Linked DNA regions of Callithrix jacchus. The protein of the gene in region 3 purifies or fractionates together with the protein of the main gene of each other region. This does not show direct contact. Links are inferred from orthologs where the notes say so. Each region holds a gene or a part of one and is shown on either strand. Other genes may lie near its edges.

Evidence for each region.
Region 1: the proteins of STX18 (region 3) and NAPA purify together in Homo sapiens (affinity purification with mass spectrometry; 4 studies listed by BioGRID and IntAct, with this or other methods). This does not show direct contact. The link is inferred for Callithrix jacchus from reciprocal best matches to the Homo sapiens genes STX18 and NAPA.
Region 2: the proteins of STX18 (region 3) and NBAS purify together in Homo sapiens (co-immunoprecipitation; 5 studies listed by BioGRID and IntAct, counting the BioPlex papers as one, with this or other methods). This does not show direct contact. The link is inferred for Callithrix jacchus from reciprocal best matches to the Homo sapiens genes STX18 and NBAS.

What each region holds. Positions count from the first base shown.
Region 1 is NC_133523.1:41,451,930-41,458,031, reverse strand, and holds the start of NAPA (alpha-soluble NSF attachment protein), read left to right. Parts: upstream 1-2,456; 5' UTR 2,457-2,607; coding exon 2,608-2,705; intron 2,706-4,990; exon of another isoform or gene 4,991-5,106; intron 5,107-6,102. UniProt on the Homo sapiens protein: Required for vesicular transport between the endoplasmic reticulum and the Golgi apparatus. Together with GNA12 promotes CDH5 localization to plasma membrane.
Region 2 is NC_133515.1:99,826,481-99,831,990, reverse strand, and holds part of NBAS (NBAS subunit of NRZ tethering complex), read right to left. Parts: intron 3,220-5,510; coding exon 2,969-3,219; intron 1,951-2,968; coding exon 1,616-1,950; intron 1-1,615. UniProt on the Homo sapiens protein: Involved in Golgi-to-endoplasmic reticulum (ER) retrograde transport; the function is proposed to depend on its association in the NRZ complex which is believed to play a role in SNARE assembly at the ER. Required for normal embryonic development.
Region 3 is NC_133504.1:184,726,742-184,732,823, reverse strand, and holds the start of STX18 (syntaxin-18), read left to right. Parts: upstream 1-2,703; 5' UTR 2,704-2,787; coding exon 2,788-2,955; intron 2,956-6,082. UniProt on the Homo sapiens protein: Syntaxin that may be involved in targeting and fusion of Golgi-derived retrograde transport vesicles with the ER.

The DNA of each region.
Region 1 (6,102 bases), on a different chromosome or scaffold from region 3:
AGCCACCAGGCCTGACGGCATCCTAATTATATGGGGTTCTGTTTTCTTTTTTAAAAATGCAGATTTCACGGCTGGGCGCGGTGGCTCATGCCTGTAATCCCAGCACTTTGAAAGGCCAAGGCGGATGGATCACTAAGTCAAGAGATAAAGACCATCTTGGTCAACATGGTGAAACCCCGCCTCTACTAAAAATACAAAAATTAGCCAGGCGTGGTGGCACACACCTGTAGTCCCAGCTACTTGGGAGGCTGAGGCAGGAGAATTGCTTAAATCTGGGAGGTAGAGGTTGTGATGAGTGGAGATCGTGCCATTGCACTCCAGCCTGGGAAACAAGAGCAAAACTCCATCTCAAAAACAAATTTTTTTCTGTGGCTCACCAGAGATTCAGAATTTTAACCATTGTGGGTACAGCCATGGAACCTGTTTTATTTAAAGAAGATTTTTAGAATAGTTTTAGATTTGTAGAAAAATTACAAAAACAGCAAAAAAATCCCATATACCCCAGTTTCCCCTATGATTATATCTTATATTAGAATAGTACATTTATGACAATTAGTGAACCAATATGGCACGATATTACTAAGTACCATGCTTTATTTAAATTTCCTTAGTCTTTTTTTCGAGATGGAGTCTCACTGTCGCCCAAGTTATAGTGCAAATCTTAGCTCACCGCAATCTCCACCTCCCAGGTTCAAGCAATTTTTAGTGAAGGGTTTCGTCATGTTGGCCAGGCTGATCTCAGGTGATCCACCCGCCTAAGCCTCCCAAACTGCTGGGATTACAGGCGTGAGCCACCACGCCTGGCTGGCTTTTTAACCCAATGCCCTTCTGTTCCAAGATCTCACCCAAGCAAAGACATTACACTTAGTAGTCTCGTCTTCTTGGCTGTGTCGGTTTCACAGACTTTCCTTTTGATGACTTGACAGTTTTGTTTACTTGTTTTAGACAGAGTCTCATTCTTGTTGCCCAGGCTGGAGAGTAGTGAGGTGATCTCACCTCACCGCAACGTCCACCTCCCAGGTACAAACAATCCTCCTGCCTCAGCCTCCCAAGTAGCTGGGATTACGTGCACACACCACCATGCCCGGCTAAGTTTTGTGTATTTTCAGTGGAGACAGGGTTTCCCCATGTTGGACAGGCTGGTCTCAAACTCCCGGCCTCAAGTGATCCTCCTGCCTTGGCCTCCCAAAGTACTGGGATTATTGGTGTGACACAACGCGGCCACCAACAGTTTGGAGGAGTACTATGCAGATATTTTGGAGGATGTGGCTCAACTGGAATTTGTCTAGAGTGTTTTTTTTATGCTTAGATTGGAAGGTCCCGGAAGTAAAAACCCTTCTTTGTTTTTGTTTTGTGAGGCAGAGTCTCACTCTGTCTCCCAAGCTGGAGTGCAGTGGCACGATCTCGGTTCACTGCAACGTTTGCCTCCCGGGTTGAAACGACTCTCCTGCGTCAGCCTCCTGAGCACCACGCCCAGCTAATTTTTTGTATTTTTAGTAGAGATGGGGTTTCACCGTGATTAGCCAGGATAGTCTCGATTTCCTAACCTCGTGATCCACCCACCTTGGACTCCCAAAATGCTGGGATTATAGGCCTGAGCCCCCGCGCCTGGCCTATTTATTTATTTTTTGGGACGAAGTCTCACTCTGTCGTCCAGGTTAGAGCGCAGTGGCGCGATCTCGGCTCACTGCAACCTCTGCCTCCACAGTTCAAGTGATTCTCCTGCCTCAGCCTCCCGAGTAGCCAGGATTACAGGCGTGCACCACCATGCTGGGCTCCTATTTGTATTTTAGTAGAGACAGGGCTTTGACATGTTGGCCTGGCTGAAGTGATCCGCCCGCCTCGGCCTCCCAAAGTGCTGGGATTACAGGCGTGACCCACCGCGCCCGGCCCTCTTCAGCTACTTTTTCTGAAGCCAGAGAGTTAAAGGATCTCTAAAGTTTTTGTTTCCCGTCTCTGAACTACTTCACTGGTCTCCCCGAAGCAGTTCCAGTATTGGCCGGGAGAGGGAGCAAAAAAAAAAAGTAGTCCTGTTTCCTTTTCCTCCAAACGGCTTTCCCAGTGAAGAAACCCGCGAAACTAACCGAGGGGGCGGGACTAAGCTCTGCGCAGAGCCGTCAAATCCGGGCGTGGACCCCGAGCTGTCACGTGAGTGTCCGCGGTCAGCTGACTGCGCCGGACTTCCGCGGCGGGGGGCGCACAACGCGAGTCGAGGGCTTCTGCTGATTGGTGAAGGAGGATTCAGCTTCAGCACCGTGGGGCGGGGCCTCGGCGGTGCGAACTGCCATTGCCTTCCGCCGTTGCCTTCCGCAGGGGCACCGTTCGCGGGTGTGTGCGCATGCGTTGAGGTCTCGGGACGCCAATTGGGGGGTCTTGAGTCACTGGCGGCGTGCGGCAGGTTGGGGCGTGGTCGCCGGAGCGGGCGCCGCGCTACGAGGCCGCTGGTTGGCCAGCGCGAGTCACGTGGTTCCGGGCTGCAGCAGCGCGCACCGGTGCGACGTCAACGCAGCAGGTCGAGCTTTCCCGACCTGTTTTCCGCGGCCCGGCCGCGGCTGAGTCCTCCCAGGGTCGGGGTTGAGCGCCTTGTTGAGTCTCTTTGTAGTCGCCATGGACAATTCCGGGAAGGAAGCGGAGGCGATGGCGCTGTTGGCCGAGGCGGAGCGCAAAGTGAAGAACTCGCAGTCCTTCTTCTCCGGCCTCTTTGGGTGAGAACCGGGCTCAGGGGTCGGCCGGGACCTAGGGTGAGAGGACGAAGGAGTCACGGCCGGAGGCGGCGGGTTAGGCACGCAGGGCTCGGGCCGAGGGGACGGAGAGGAACCTGGAATGAGGTGATATGGTCTGAGGCGGCAGAGGGGACACAGACTGAGGGCCAAGGGCTCGGGCCGGGGCAACACGGTTTGAAGAGAGACGGTCTGACATGGCGGAAGGGACATGGGCTGAGGACACACGGGCCAAGGCGACACTGTCTTGAGGCGAGAAAGGGGACTCAGGCCAAAGACAGGCCAGGGGGCCGAGGGAGAACCTGGACCGAGGGAATACGTCCTGAAGCTTTGGAGGGGACTGGCCTGGGGGGGACGGAGGGAATCCGGGAGAGTAGGCAGGTCGGAGGCCTTTCGGAGCTCTAGGGGCATCTGTCTGAAGGCTCTCAGGCGGCGTGATGGGTCCTGGGACTGAGGACGCCCTGCCCGAGGGACTGACCTTTCCAGTCCCCCAGGGCAGTGGATTTGTGGGGGGTCCTGGGCAGTAAGGGTGATGGCTGAAGGAGGCTGACACCAGACGGAGGGTCTCGGGAATTTGGTGATCCTAGGAGTGGTGAAACACATCTGAAGTGTGTGTTGGGGGGTGCCTAGGTTGAGTCCGGCCCTGGTTAGCAGTGACTAAAGACAGCTGAACCAGGGAACCCGCATGATGGAGCCAAGAGTGAGGAGGTCCCAATACTTTGGGAAGCCGAGGTGGGCAAATCACTGAGGTCAGGAGTTGGAGACCAGCCTGACCAACGTAGTGAAAACCCTTCTCTGCTAAAAATACAAAAACTAGCTGGGCCTGGTGGCTGGTGCCTGTTATCCCAGCTACTCGGGAGGCTGATGCAGGAGAATCACTTGAACCCAGACGGCAGAGGTTGCAGTGAACCGACATCACACCGTTGCACTCCAGCCTGCGTGACAGTACGAGACTGACTCCATGTCAAAGAAAAACAAAAAGACTGAGGAGGCCTGGGTTGAGGCTAAAGACTCCTGGGTGGGGGAACACATGGTGGTGGCTTGGCCAAGGAGATGGAGGGGTAACAGGGCGAGACAGAGGGACAGAAAGAACCAAAACGGGGGATCAGAGGCCTGCTGTGTGATCCTCAAGTAATGGTGATGATGATGACAGGGACATGGTGAGAAGACGGATGGGAAGAGGCTTGGGAGACAGAACTAATGCATATGGCATGGCATAAAACTCGCATTCGCTCCTAAAAGCGACACAGCCATCCTCTGAGAAATTCTAGTGGCTTAGGAGTGTCAAGAGGCCAGGTTTGAAATGTGGCTCTGCCACTTCATGACCTTGGGTAAATTGTTCAGTCTCCCCATTAAAGGAGACCTCGAACCAAACCTACCTGCGATTTGCTGTATTAGGATTGAGCCTGGCATGGAGTTAACGTCTCTGAACATGTTAGCTGTTGTTAATGTGACTTTCCAGAAGGAACAGATTTGGAGCGTGCAGAGGGATGAGGGGTTCAAAGTTAGTGTGAGCGGAGAGGTCTGGGAGGGGTCAGAAGAGGGAGAGATGGAGAAGCATGAGTTTGCTAAGAGGAGCTGAAATAAAACACAAGAGGGACCCAGGAGGACTTAATAGGGTGGAGAGGCACATGAGACTCTGGGCAGAGGAAGTAGAAGGGAGCTGGGGAGGGTTTGGCAGGGGGTGGGAGGTGGGGAGTGAGATCTGCGCTGATGGGGGGTCCTGAAAGGATCAAGGGGAGGCTGTGGGAACAGAGAGGAGGCTTGGGAAAGGACTAGTGGGCTTGTAGAGAGGATGATGTGTGGTAGCCACTCAGAAGCAGAGCCTGGGGAAGGTGGTAGGACTGGGAGCGTCTGCAGAAGGCTGGAGAAGGGGGTTGGGGGGAGGGCCTGGGGATCGGAGGAGACCATGGTAGGAAGCTGGCAGAGGCTGGTAAGACACGAAGTGGAGGGATCTTTCCAAGAGAGGAAAGAACGGGAAAAGGCTCTGGGCCTCGCCCCTTGTTTGAGGTTGGATAATGTTTAGCAAAAGAACTTGAAGAACATGACCGGGAATTGCCTGGTGTGGGGAAACATCCGGGGCTGATGGACCATATTGATTAGGTGAAAAATGTTTTCTTTTAGAGGCTGAGAGGAGGGAGAGGGGGTATGTGTGTGTTTTCTTCATAAGGGGAGAAGTTCAAGTGCTGTGTTTGGGGGTGGGACCACGAGCTGGGTTTTTGGTGATGGTTTTCCTGGGTGGCTCTGAGTGTCTGTTCCCTTTGGCCCAGGGATTGGTGGGTACTGGACCGTGTGCTTGGAGGGAGCAGCTAAGTCAGCCCCAGGGCACTTGCTACCTGGTTGGGAAGGCAAGATGAACACCAAACACTAGTAAAGCAGAATTACGGTAAGGAAGGCCTCGATTATGTCATCCGTGTGAATGGCTGAGCTGAGAGGAAGCAGCGGGAGCTGCATGGAGGCTTCTGGTGAGGAGTGAGCTAGGCCCCAGGGAACGCCCAGGACTTGCTAAGGGAGTGGGGCCGGGGAGGGTGCTCTAGGCAGCAGGGATGGTGCTGCCGAGGTCTAGCGTGAGGAGACGTTCTGCCTGGAAAGACGGGGAACTGAAATCCAGAGGGACCAGAAATGGCTTCCTGGGGGAGAGGGCCCAATCCTGGGGAATGAACAGGAGTTCTGGGGTGCTCTCTGGTATGGAGGAAGTGTGACTGAGCATGCCTTAGGAAGACGAAACACAGAGAGTTCCATGTTAGACCGTAAAGGTGGAAGCGGCACGTAAGGCCAGACAACGAAGGCCTCGTGAGCAAGGACTGGGCCTGGAGGAGTCACTGCAGAGCCCCAAGGAGGCTAAGGGAGGCCCATCCTGGAGGGTTCCCGTTTGCCTTCTAGAAAGGACTGCAGCAGCTGGTATGGGGGAGAGTGACAGCAGGAGGCTGCTGCAGTGCCAGTAATACTAGCACATGCTGGTTACTAAGTGCTCACTCTGACTCAGGCCCAGGCCTGGGCCAGGCTCTACCTGCTGATGGATCGGATAGATTTAGTCCGCACAAAATCTCCAGGAAGGTAGAGAAAGCCGGGGGCTTAGGAGAAGTGACTCTTTGCCCAGCCCCACAGTAAGTGGGAGAGGCAGCATTCAAACCCAGTTCTGTGTGATTCCAGAGCCTTCTCGCTTAGCCCCTTTGCTGTGCCACCACAGTAGTTTCTCCTGAAGGTTCGTGACCATCTCTGGGCACTACACTCAGGAAGGATGTTGGCAAACTGGGTGTGTTGGAGAGCCGCCACCCTCCTAAGTGTCCCCATGGCAGTTTACTCCAAATATTTGAAAGACAGAGCTGGTCGTTCATCCCAGTTCCTTCCAGCTCCAAGCAGAGCTGACCTACGCTCTGGT
Region 2 (5,510 bases), on a different chromosome or scaffold from region 3:
AACTTTGCTGAGCCTCAGTTTGCTCATCTATAAAACTGGAGTAATAATATTATCTACCTCACTGATACTCAGCCATAACCACTGTCCCAAAGAAGTAGAAGTCTAAGAGAGATTCCTGAAGCTAAGCCACAGCTAGTAAGTGAGGGGTTTAGAGTTCAAAGTCAGGTTTATAGGTCTCCAAACACATTCTTTTCAAATATATTACGCTCTTGTCTTTTAAAATCATCCTTATTTTTCTATTTAAAAACAACAAAAATGATTATTTCCTTTTTATAGCAGTGGTTATAAAATTTAAAACCAAGATACATGATTCGGGTTGCAATAGCAAGAAAATAAAGAGGTACGTGGTTATCCACAACTACGAATCTAGTGATTTGGTTACAACTGGCATTCTTCACAGAAGTTGGAACCTCTGCCTGTGCCAATCTCCAGATGAATGATTCACAATTCTTAGTCTTTACACTCTATTTCCAGGATAATAATAAGTACAATAAAAATCTCGGGGATAGGATACTGGGCAGCCTCGGTGACTTGCAGGGAAGGAGAAGGCAACAGCAAAGATGGCAAGAGATCAAAAGGGAGCTCCTCCAAAGGTGACAGAGTTCAGTGGCTGAGGCCACAGGCTAAGATTTTCCAGGAGAGAGAATGCCCAGAGTCCACGTAGTGAAAAATGGCCATTTGTTTAGCAGTGAGGCTGGCTGAGAGGACAGGAACGGGGAGGAGGAGAACCCAAATTATCTACTCTGAGTGGGGCAACACATTGCTGAGGAATTGAGTGCAGGTATTAAGATCCAGTCAAACAGCTCAGAAGTGAGCATGGAGGAGACATCAGAAAATGCAATATGCATTCTCTTCAATAATTCTATCACCAAGTTATATACTGCATGATTCGCATAAGAAATTATTTATTTTTTTTGAGTTCTTATTTTTTTGAGACAGAATCTCATTCTGTTGCCAGGCTGGAGTGTAGCAGCATGCTCTCGGCTCACTGCAACCTCCGTCTCCTGGGTTCACGTGATTCTCCTGCCTCAGCCTCCTGAGTAGCACACCACCATGCCCAGCTAATTTCTTTTTTTTTTTTTAAGTAGAGATGGGGTTTCGCCATGTTGGCCAGGTTGGTCTTAAACTCCTGACCTCAGGTAATCCACCCGCCTCAGCCTCCCAAAGTGTGGGATTACAGGCATGAGTCATTGAGACCAGCCAATAACTTTTTTAAAGATTCAGTTTAACCCAAGCTGAGTTGTTAGCCTGGTTTCTGAATGTAGGTAATCTGGGCTGGGCACTGGAGCTTCTTTAAATTTGTCAACTGGAAAGAACAGAATGGCATATTTACTATAAAATGACAAGAGACTTGTATGTGACATGTACAACATATATGTGTAAATTAGAGCAGTCATCTCTATTTTAGCATCTTTGTACATTTGTAACACAGAAAGAAAATTTCCCAATTAAAACGTCTCATTGATAGCAAAAACAACCAAAACCTTTCTAAAAAGCTAACATGTAATTATTTTCCAATTCAAGAAAGGAAATAAAAATAAAACCTACAGAATGTAGGAGCAATTTTCATTTCTTTTAACATGCACAAACCACTTTAAAATATATTTCTGTTTACCTTGGTCACAGCTTTAGGAGAAAATGTAATTGCATCTACCACTGTGATGAGGTCACCTGGGTGGAGACGATCAAAGTACTTGACGCAGACATCATAGGCATGCAGCCACTCCGGTGAAGAGCCTGGGACTTGTTTAATGAGATGAGGGTCTCCAGTCCAGAACAACTTCTGTAACCAGATGGTGTACAGAGAGCTCGGGGAAAGCATCTGTCCATCCTTTTCAGGGATTTTGGGAACAAGTTTGGAAATAGATAAGATGTTTTGACTTGAAAGAACTGGCTCCAGTGCTTCAAGAGGACTCATGTTTTCATCTGTCAGCTTTTTGTAATTAAGACCTAGCAGAAAAAAAAGAAAGTAGGTAAGTGGTTCATTCGGATGCAAAAATACAGGCGCTTTCACACACACACAATCCTCTGTATGTCTGAACGCAAAGATCTATCAACTTAGCTATAGGAGGTGGTTTAGGTTTTCTATTAGAAAGATCAGTAAATCTGAGTTCTAGTCACAGCCTGAATCTTACCAGATAGGCCATTCATCTGCTGTGTGCCTCTATTTCCTCGTTTGTACACCAGAGATGACAATATCTCCATGACTTCTGCATCCCCCACAGCACCTGTTTTCTCCTGTCAGTGCATTCACCAAACTGCACTATATTCATTTGTTATTTATCTGCCGTTTCACTATTTACTTGAAGGTAAGGACTGAATCTTATTCCCTCATCCTCTGTGTCTAGGCCAGTGTCTCACTTGATGACTCAGAAAACAACTGATAAACTGAAGGGAACTCTCACAATTATTATAAATATCAAATAAATACAGATTTGAATGTGCCTTGCAAATTATAAGGTATAAAAATTTAAGAGGTCTTAAGGTGTTTAATTTCTTAGTTATGAGAATAAAGACCACTCTAAAGATTTCCACAATTCATCAAAGATTGGAAGACTCATACTTGAAGTGTTCCATGCATATTTAAACATATAGGCTCCAGTGGAATAAAATTCTGCTGAACTGTCTATTATAAAGTGTCTTGGCCTTGCCATTTATATACATAAAATATAACCAATGAGAGTAGTGAAAAAACCCTGGAGCCAAATTCCAAAACTCTGGATTTTAGTATCAGGTCTGCCATACATCACCATGCGACTTTCAATAGGCTTCTTACTTTTTCTGGTATTTAATTCCCTCAACCACAAGTGAAAGAGTTGGAAAGATAATAACTGAAGTCTATTAGCTTCCAAATTCTGTGGTTTCAGAGCTCTGCCGACCATAATGCATGAACAGAATTACGCACAGAAAATTAATCCCCAGATTAATTTTAAAAGAATGAATTCAAGCAGGGAAAGAACCATCTTACCTGATGCAACAACCTTAAATTTCTTCAGCAGCCGAATGTGGGTTTCTGGTTTAATGGCATACTTCTCCAAGCCTGCACAGCCACAGTTTTCCAGAAGAGTGAAATAATACAGCAGCCTTTCGTGATCAAAGCCACCAATCGTGGGGTAAATATACTTGACCATGTGCTGGTGAAAGGCTTCTGGATCAGTCTTCAAAGTCTCAAAGAGATGAAGGTCTTGGGCTCTATTTTCAATTTCTAGTGTGGACAAACTGAAATTAAGAGCAAAGGAGCCTTGTTAAGATTTTGTTCCTTTATTAGAGTGATTTTTTTTAACCCAGGAAGAAGCACTACTTATAGCTTCCTTCTTCCTGCCTACTCAAAGAAAGTAAACCACCCCCAGCACCCAGTCAGCTTGTAAAAAGGGAAACAAATGTGTTAGATGCCTACTAACATTTAACTGACTACAGAGTCATCATGTTATCTCATGGGGGTCTACAGCCACCCTGGGAAGTAGGCTTTACTTCAAGTTCTTCCAGTTGGGAAAGTTGTCTGTTTGTTTACCGGCTAGGAAGTAAACCATCTGTCAGGGTCCACTCTAAATCGTTAATTCATGTCATAAAAAGGGTTTAAAATCTGTGCTTCTTCACAGAAACATAAACAGGGCTTATTATTTCAGGAATTTAGTAAATTATACAGGAAAGAAAAACCCTAACCCCTTTGGCTTAAGATTTACATCCAGGTGTCTTGCATTAATATTCAATAAACTCAAATTTTATGCTGTGTTCAAATAAAAGAAAAACGGAGAAAAAGTGATAATTAAACTTTCACCTGGGTTATCTGCAGTAATGCTACTCGCATAAAACACCTATCTTAATATTTTCATTCTAACTTAGATGTCTTTGTAATATAATTTTAAAAAGTCATTTAAGGTTAAACTCTTGGAAAAAGAAAAATTAAGGTATTTTTGCTTGGTTGATTGGTTTGTGCTTTTAGAAGGGGGAGGGAAGGGGTTAACTTTGGTATTATGCTTCTCCCTGGACAGAATCTGGTCACAGCCATCTCAACATCCCTTACGGGATGAGTTTCATACTCCCTAAGTGGTCTAGTGTAATCTCAACATCCCTTACGGGATGAGTTTCATACTCCCTAAGTGTAAGAGTCCTTTGGGCACCCCTCCACTCACAGAATTGCCCAGGTTCTAGGGTTCTCCCACTGAGCTCAGAATGTGACAACACTTGGGACAAAGAGGGTAAAGTCAAAGCATCAAGTAATTTTTAAAAACTGGTCTTTTTACTTTTGCTTCAAGAAAAGCCTTATTTTTCCATTAAGACACAGTTCAAACATTTACAAGAATATTCCTAACTATAAATATGTCCCCAGTCACTGGCTCCTCTGAGCTACTGGTGTGTGCTGACTATCCTTCTATTCTGTTATGCAAAACATATGTTAACTATTTATCACCTTGTCTAGCTCCCTTACTAGATTGTGCTGCTTCATGGCATAGACCTTATTACATCATCTTAATCTTTAGTTTCTCAATACCAAGGACCAGCGTGTGGCACAAAGGAAATCTTCAATATATGTCTTATCAATGCCAAATAGACGAGTGGATGAGCAAAAAATTAGGTGTCCTCTATGTACAAGGCACTGTGCTTAGCACTGGGGAGGATTTAAAGACTTACAGCATAGAGTTCTCACACGAGTTTGAAAATCCAGTTGAATTATAAATACTTACAGCTAAATAATGATGCAAAACCATAGTATCAGCTGACAAAGGGCACACAATTATAGTCCAATTAAGAGTAGTATCGGCCAGGCGCAGTGGCTCACGCCTGTAATCCCAGCACTCTGGGAGGTCGAGGCGGGTGGATCACGAGGTCAAGAGATCGAGACCATCCTGGTCAACATGGTGAAACCCCGTCTCTACTAAAAATAGAAAAATTAGCTGGGCATGGTGGTGTGTGCCTGTAATCCCAGCTACTCAGGAGGCTGAGGCAGGAGAATTGCTTGAACCCAAGAGGCGGAGGTTGTGGTGAGCCAAGATCGTGTCATTGCACTCCAGCCTGGGTAACAAGAGCGAAACTCCGTCTCAAAAAAAAAAAAAAGTAGTATCACTAAAAGCTGTGACTGCAGAGGATGTAGAAATCAATGATAATGGAAGGCTTAGTGAAAGAAGCACTTGAATTTGGCATTGTAGAAAGAAATGAAGCAGAAATAATGTGAACAAAAGTATCAAGACAAGAAAGCAAAAGGCCTGTTAAAGGAACAGTGAATACAAATGGCTGGGTGGGCAGAAAATATTCTTGATACTATCACTATTCAAAGGACACCATCATCTCTGAAAGATACTATACACACAGTGGTATGGGACAGTAAATCACAGAATTTCTTATGTTCCTTCATAATTTGCAAAACGAAGTCTGAAAACAATGTAGTAACGAAGTAAACAAGAAACTGTATAACTGCAATAAAATAAATCTTATTGACGAAGATTTGCAGGCAGAACAACATGTTGAATGGAGGAGAGAAAACAAATCTGTGTTTATCACGTTGATTACTT
Region 3 (6,082 bases):
GTCAGGGACCTTTCTAGAGTCCCTGAGGGGGGGAAAAAAAGGTTTTCAATGAATTTAATTAAGTTTACTTCCTAATGTGAAGGTATATGTTTTTGAAGGTCTTTCCTCATAAAGGTCTTCATCCTCACCATCATCACACCAAGTAGGCTGAGGAACAGGAGGGGTTGGTCTTGCTTTCTTAGGGGTGGCAAAGGCAGAAGGAAGTCTGAGTATTAGTGGAAGCGTGCAGTTCAAGCCTGTGTTGTTCAAGAGTCGACTGCGTATTTTTCAGAACAGTGTCTGGCCCAATCAATGTCTGCTGAACGCATAAAGAAAACATGATCTGTGCACTACATCCAACAGGCTGGGCACGGTGGCACACGCCTATAGTCCTAGCTACTCAGGAGGCTGAACCGAGAGGATCATTTGAGCCCTGGAGCTGCAGTAGTAACTCTCACAACATTTCTGCTCACCCTTTTAATCCACAGCCCCTTTCAGCTTCATGGAGTTTAATACAGTCCATGGTCAACGAAGTCACTTTGCTCTTTGAAATTAAAGAGTAAACACAACATTTAAAAAGCACAACCCATATCCCACGGTCTGTGGAAAGTTCAGCAGCCTCCTCAAGATCTTTGTGACTTTTCTAGGAATTTTATGTACTGTGGTCACTTGTGGATTTACAGCCTGATGTTTTGAGCTCACTTGGGACTCATATCCACTACAATCTTCTCTGCTCTTGCAAATCCACACAGAAAACTTAGATCTTTGTCCCTACCCTTCTACCCAAAATATCCAACTGCATCAAACACACTGTTCACACAAGGCACCACTCACTGAAGTCTTGATATAGTTCAGCCTCCCTCTCACTCAAAAATCCTTTCCAGTTACCTACTTTGTACTTTCCTGGCCCCTCCCTTGGTTCTGGCTTCTCTTTTTTCCCCCCTAATTCAATCCCCCTCACTTAATTATGCAGAGCAATCTCTCTTTCCTTCTACTGTGCCCCAGGCTTAACTTTGCATAGCCAAAAACTCATTAATGTCTGGATTAAACAAAGGGCCATTTGTGCAAGATAGAATCATTGGCAGAGATTTTGTGATTTCTTTCACTTTTCCTCAGTAGGTGGAAGAAAGCTGTATGGAAATGTATTTTCCTTAAACTGCAAGGAATGGCTACAGTTTGGGCTTAAATAATCTTTTTCTTCCTCCTTTCTGGTAAATATATACTTTCTTGACATCTATTTCTGATCAACTTTATTTCTTTAACATAGTGGTTCTCAAACTTTTGGTCTCAACTCTTTTGCACACTTAAAAATTGCTAAGGGCTGTAAACAATTTTTGTTTATATTGACATTATCAACATTTACTATATGAGAAACTAAAACCAAAACTTTTTATGTCTTTGAAAACCTTTTTTAAAGTCTGGCTTAATAGAAAACAGCTGTTCTGCATTCATTCCGTTGCAATATCACACACAGTCTCTAACAAACTCAAGTGTATACAACTCATGAGGAAGTGAGAGTGAAAAGGCAAGTAACGTCTTAGTATTATGAAAAGAGTTTTATATTGGTGACCATTTAAACCACTGCATTAACACATATTCTACTTGTGCATTCTCTTTATGAAAAAAAATCTTGAGATTTTGTTTTAACACTGAACCATAGGCCAGGCAAGGTGGCACATGCCCAAAGTCCCCGTCACTCAGGAGGCGGAGCGGGGGAGGATCATTTGAGCCCTGGGGTTCCAGTGAGTAGTGAGCTAGGATGGCGTCTTTGAACAGCCACTGTAATCTCACTGGGCAACATAGTGAGACCCCCATCTTAAACACACACACACACACCCCAGAACCATGAACCAAAAAATGCAGAAGAAACTCATTGACTGACTTGTCATTGTTTATGACTCAAGATTTGAAAACTATGCATGAAGGATGAACAGAATCCAGCGGCATTAGGGTCACCCTTTCACCTCTGTCTCCATCTAAAGTTCCTATTCATCCTTCAAATCTCTGCACAGGTGACGCCTTCTCTCTAGAGCCTCTTTCTCACCACAAATAAGATTATAATAATATTTATTAATTATAATATTTATTAATAACATTTATTAATATGTTTTTATTATTATAATAACAACATATTAACGATAACTACCATTTATTGGCCACTTACTGGGAGCCAAGAAACACCAAAACAGCACGCGTCGGGTCATTTAATTTTCACAGTAAACTCCGAGGAGGATGCTGGCTTCCCTTTACAGAAGAGGTGGCGGAAGGCTGGAGAACAAAGGCCTCTGGCTCTGTGCCCTGCACACCTGCTCTGTCCCAGCACTTATTGCACCCCGAGGGTCACCGTCCACGTGCCTCTGACATGCTCAGGGTGAGTCCTTGCAGTCAAAGGTCAAGGGGGTCTCGCCTTCGCGTCCCCCGCAACCAAATCGTCCGGGCTCAGTGAGGGAGCCACCAGAAGGGAAGGAACTTCCCAGCTTTCCGGTCTTTATGCTCCCGGAGCCCACAAGCCCCAGACAGACATAGGAGAGCTCTCCGTGCTGCTAAACCCTCCAAGCTTTGCCTGGAGAAGGGACTACCCGTGAGCACGTTGCCGGGTCCCTCCTCCTCTAGGCGCGCCAGCTTAGGCCGGAACCTTTTTCCTCCCGCCGCGGTAGCCGGGCGCAGGCCGGAACCTTTCTTCTCGCGCCACCGTTGCCGGGGGGAGGCGTGCGGGGTAGGACCAGTCCTCTAGCTGGCGGATTAGCGCCGCGGTCGCTGGCTGCTGACGTGGGCGGGTCCCGTTTGGGGCTGCGGGTGCGGGTCGCTATGGCGGTGGATATCACGCTGCTATTCCGGGCCAGCGTCAAGACCGTGAAGACGCGGAACAAGGCGCTGGGAGTGGCGGTGGGCGGCGGGGTCGATGGCAGCCGGGATGAGCTGTTCCGCCGGAGCCCCAGGCCCAAGGGCGACTTCTCCAGCCGGGCCCGCGAAGTGGTAAGCTGGTTGCTATGGAAACGGCGGCTTGAGGAGGGGACAGACCTGCGACAGGGACCCCAGGCCCCAAACCAGACCTCGTCCCTTAAGCATTGTGTAAAGAGTGTGGCCCCAAGGAGGACAGTACAGTTGGCCTCAGCCGACAGCTTCTGGGGGAAGGAGCAGCCTTATTTTGAGGAAGGGGGACGCATTATTGGGGAACGGATTTCTCCTTCGGCGGCGGGGTTTAGGGGGCGAAGAAGAAGACGCTCAGAAATCTCTATCTGGAAAGTGCATGGGCGGCTTTGTGAGGTCATGAGATCGCTGTCATTACAGACTTGCACTCGGGAAGTTTCCTCACAGTCCTTCGCTTCCTGTCGAAGCACTGACCACACTGTATTTGCCTGTTCTGTTTGCTTGCCTGCCTCCCACCCCCAGTTGAGATTAAAACCGTATTAAACCGAACTCTTTCTTTACTTTGTCTTCGCAATAAGTAGGACTCAGTTCCGCTTGAGACAGGTTTAGGATAATCTTTCACAGTGTTAAGTCATCTCAACTACTTTCTGTTTCCTGGACAGAGCAGGTGTTCCTTCATCTCCCTGGGACTAGGAACCTTTTCGTTAAGGGAAGGGACAGTGTTGTTTTCATCTCAGAATGCATGACTTATACAGCATTGCTTAGTAAATGTCTGTTGAATGAATGAATGAATAAATGGCTGTCTTTACCACGAGGCAGAAAACTGCACAACGGGAGAGATGTTTGTCTTGTTCCCTATTGTATATGTGACACCAAGTGGGGATCTAGTTTTTGTGGGGCCTAAAGCTTATATAATTCTGTCTCCTCTTTTTAAGAAGAAAACCGCCAAGAAAGGTTGAGAGCTTTGGAAGTTTGAAGTGAGGGACCCTGAAGCTTAAGCTTCATTAATTTCACGCTAAATCTACCTCTGCTTGGCATGCACTTGGCACTGTATAGACATTCAGATATTTTTGAATGAATGTATGCATGCGTGCATTAATGACAGTTAGCTGAAGATACTTAAACCTCAGAAAGGGGATTGGACCAGATGAATACACTTACCCCATTGATGAACATCTATGAAGCACTTACCTTTTGACCAGCCTCATGTTAGAGTAACATGATGTAAAAGGAGTGGTTGAGGATACGGACATAGAAATAAAACAAGTACTGTAAAGCCCTGTAAGTGTTGTGTAGGGCACAAAGAAGAATGTGGTCAGTTCTACCTGAGGATCAGAAAAGGCTTTATAGAGGTGATGATGCTTCAAACAAGTCTTGAAAGAGGATTAGTTGGTTTCAGTACAGACAAGGTGGGGAAGGGCATCTCAGGCTAAGAGCATAGTGTGCGCTAAGGTCTGGAGGTAGGTAATTGTCTGACATAAGTTGGTTCATAAACATTTGAGTGGGACTGGAATGTGGGACTTCTCATAAAAATTGGAATAGAGTGGCAGCAGGGGGAGATCTTGAAGGGCTTTGTATATCACTGCAGAGTTTGAATTTGGCCTTGTAGGTGGGCAGATGTTATATGATAGAGAAAGCACCAAAGATGGAGCGAGCCAAGAGACCAGGTTGTTGTCTGACGGTGCAACTATTAGCTACATGATTTCATTAAGCAAGTTTTAAGACCTTATTTTATTTACCTGTGAATGATCCTTTTTTTTCCTCCTCCTCCTTTTAAAAAACTACCTTGATCCTCTCTATATAACACATCAAAGTGAGAGCTACCTAGGTTGAAATGAGAGGAAGAGAAACAGGACATTCTCCCTCCCTATACTCCCAGTTTGTCCCAAGCACTTCCTGGGGTTCCTTTTGTAGAACTGTGGTATAATATTGTCTTTTGAAGGGCCCCTTCTAACTCTGAAACCACTGATTTATTAGCACTGTGCTAATTTTGAGTCCTGCTCAAGGAAAGGGGGGATTTGGGAATTGGAGAGGCAAGAGGCAACAGTTGGGTTGGCAAGCCCTTTGGAGAGTCCTGTAACCACTTCCACCTCTCCCTGAGTGGTGAAAATGTGTTTTAGGCATTTGAGTTTATGGGCCTCAGAGATAGTAACAGCAACAGTCCCTTAAGGTGCTGAGTTCCCTGTCTTTGGAAGTCATTAAACAGAGTGATGACTGCTTTTTAGAGATGTTTGAGAAGAACTTTGTCCATGTGTCACAGGGTTGGACCACATGGCAGTGAAACTTCCAATTCTGCTATGTATTGATGTGGGTACGTGTCACATCACCTCAAGTGAGTATATGGGCTGTGTTGTTCAGGGACACAGTCCCCCTGACCTAGAGGAAACATATATTCTTTTAAGCAGTTTTGATTTTCTGTTGTCATTGCTTTGTGTGTTATCTTCTATACTTGCAACTGTTTCCCACTCCGCATCTTTTCTTGTGGAAAGTTTAACTAGAAGAACTAGTGATGGATGTCCTGTGCTTTCACTACAGTTAGATGTGTCAAAAGTTTGGTGTTATTTTGTTTGGCCTGGATTCCTTATACAGAAAAGTCTGGTGCACATATCCTGATTCAGATTTAGCCCTGATTGTCAGACCTAAGGAAATGTAGTAAGTTATAGTATGCCTGTTAGTAAGTGCCTTCCTTGAAGCATTTGCTGTCACTTCTAGGATGCATTTTGTCTGGCTCAGTTTCTGTTCTTACATTCCATTCCTCAAATATATGCCTGGTGCCGGATTTCCATCTCACTGAATTGTTATAAAGGCTATATTAAGTTTAATAAAATTGCATTGAAACTAAATCTTCCTCCCCACCTCCCACCAACAGGCTTTCTTCTGCATCGTTCTTTTAAACATTTAACTTTTATGCTCAGTTTTGCTAAATTTATATATACTCAAATGCATGTCTACCCATTAAATTACAAATGGAGAGTAACAACTTTTCAGATTATTTGGGAGAGGAACTTATATTATTTGAACAACTCCAAATAATAATGAATATGTCACTCTACAATGGGAATTTGATGAGTTAACTCATTTGAAGTGTGGGACTAATGAGGACTGTGGGATTGGAAAGGGATCTGGGCCTTGGGTTCAAATCTGGCTTCTTGTACTTAGAAATGGGTGAACTTGGGCAAGTCTGACTCTCATTTTCCATTTCTATAAAATGGACATGATAATACCCTACTTA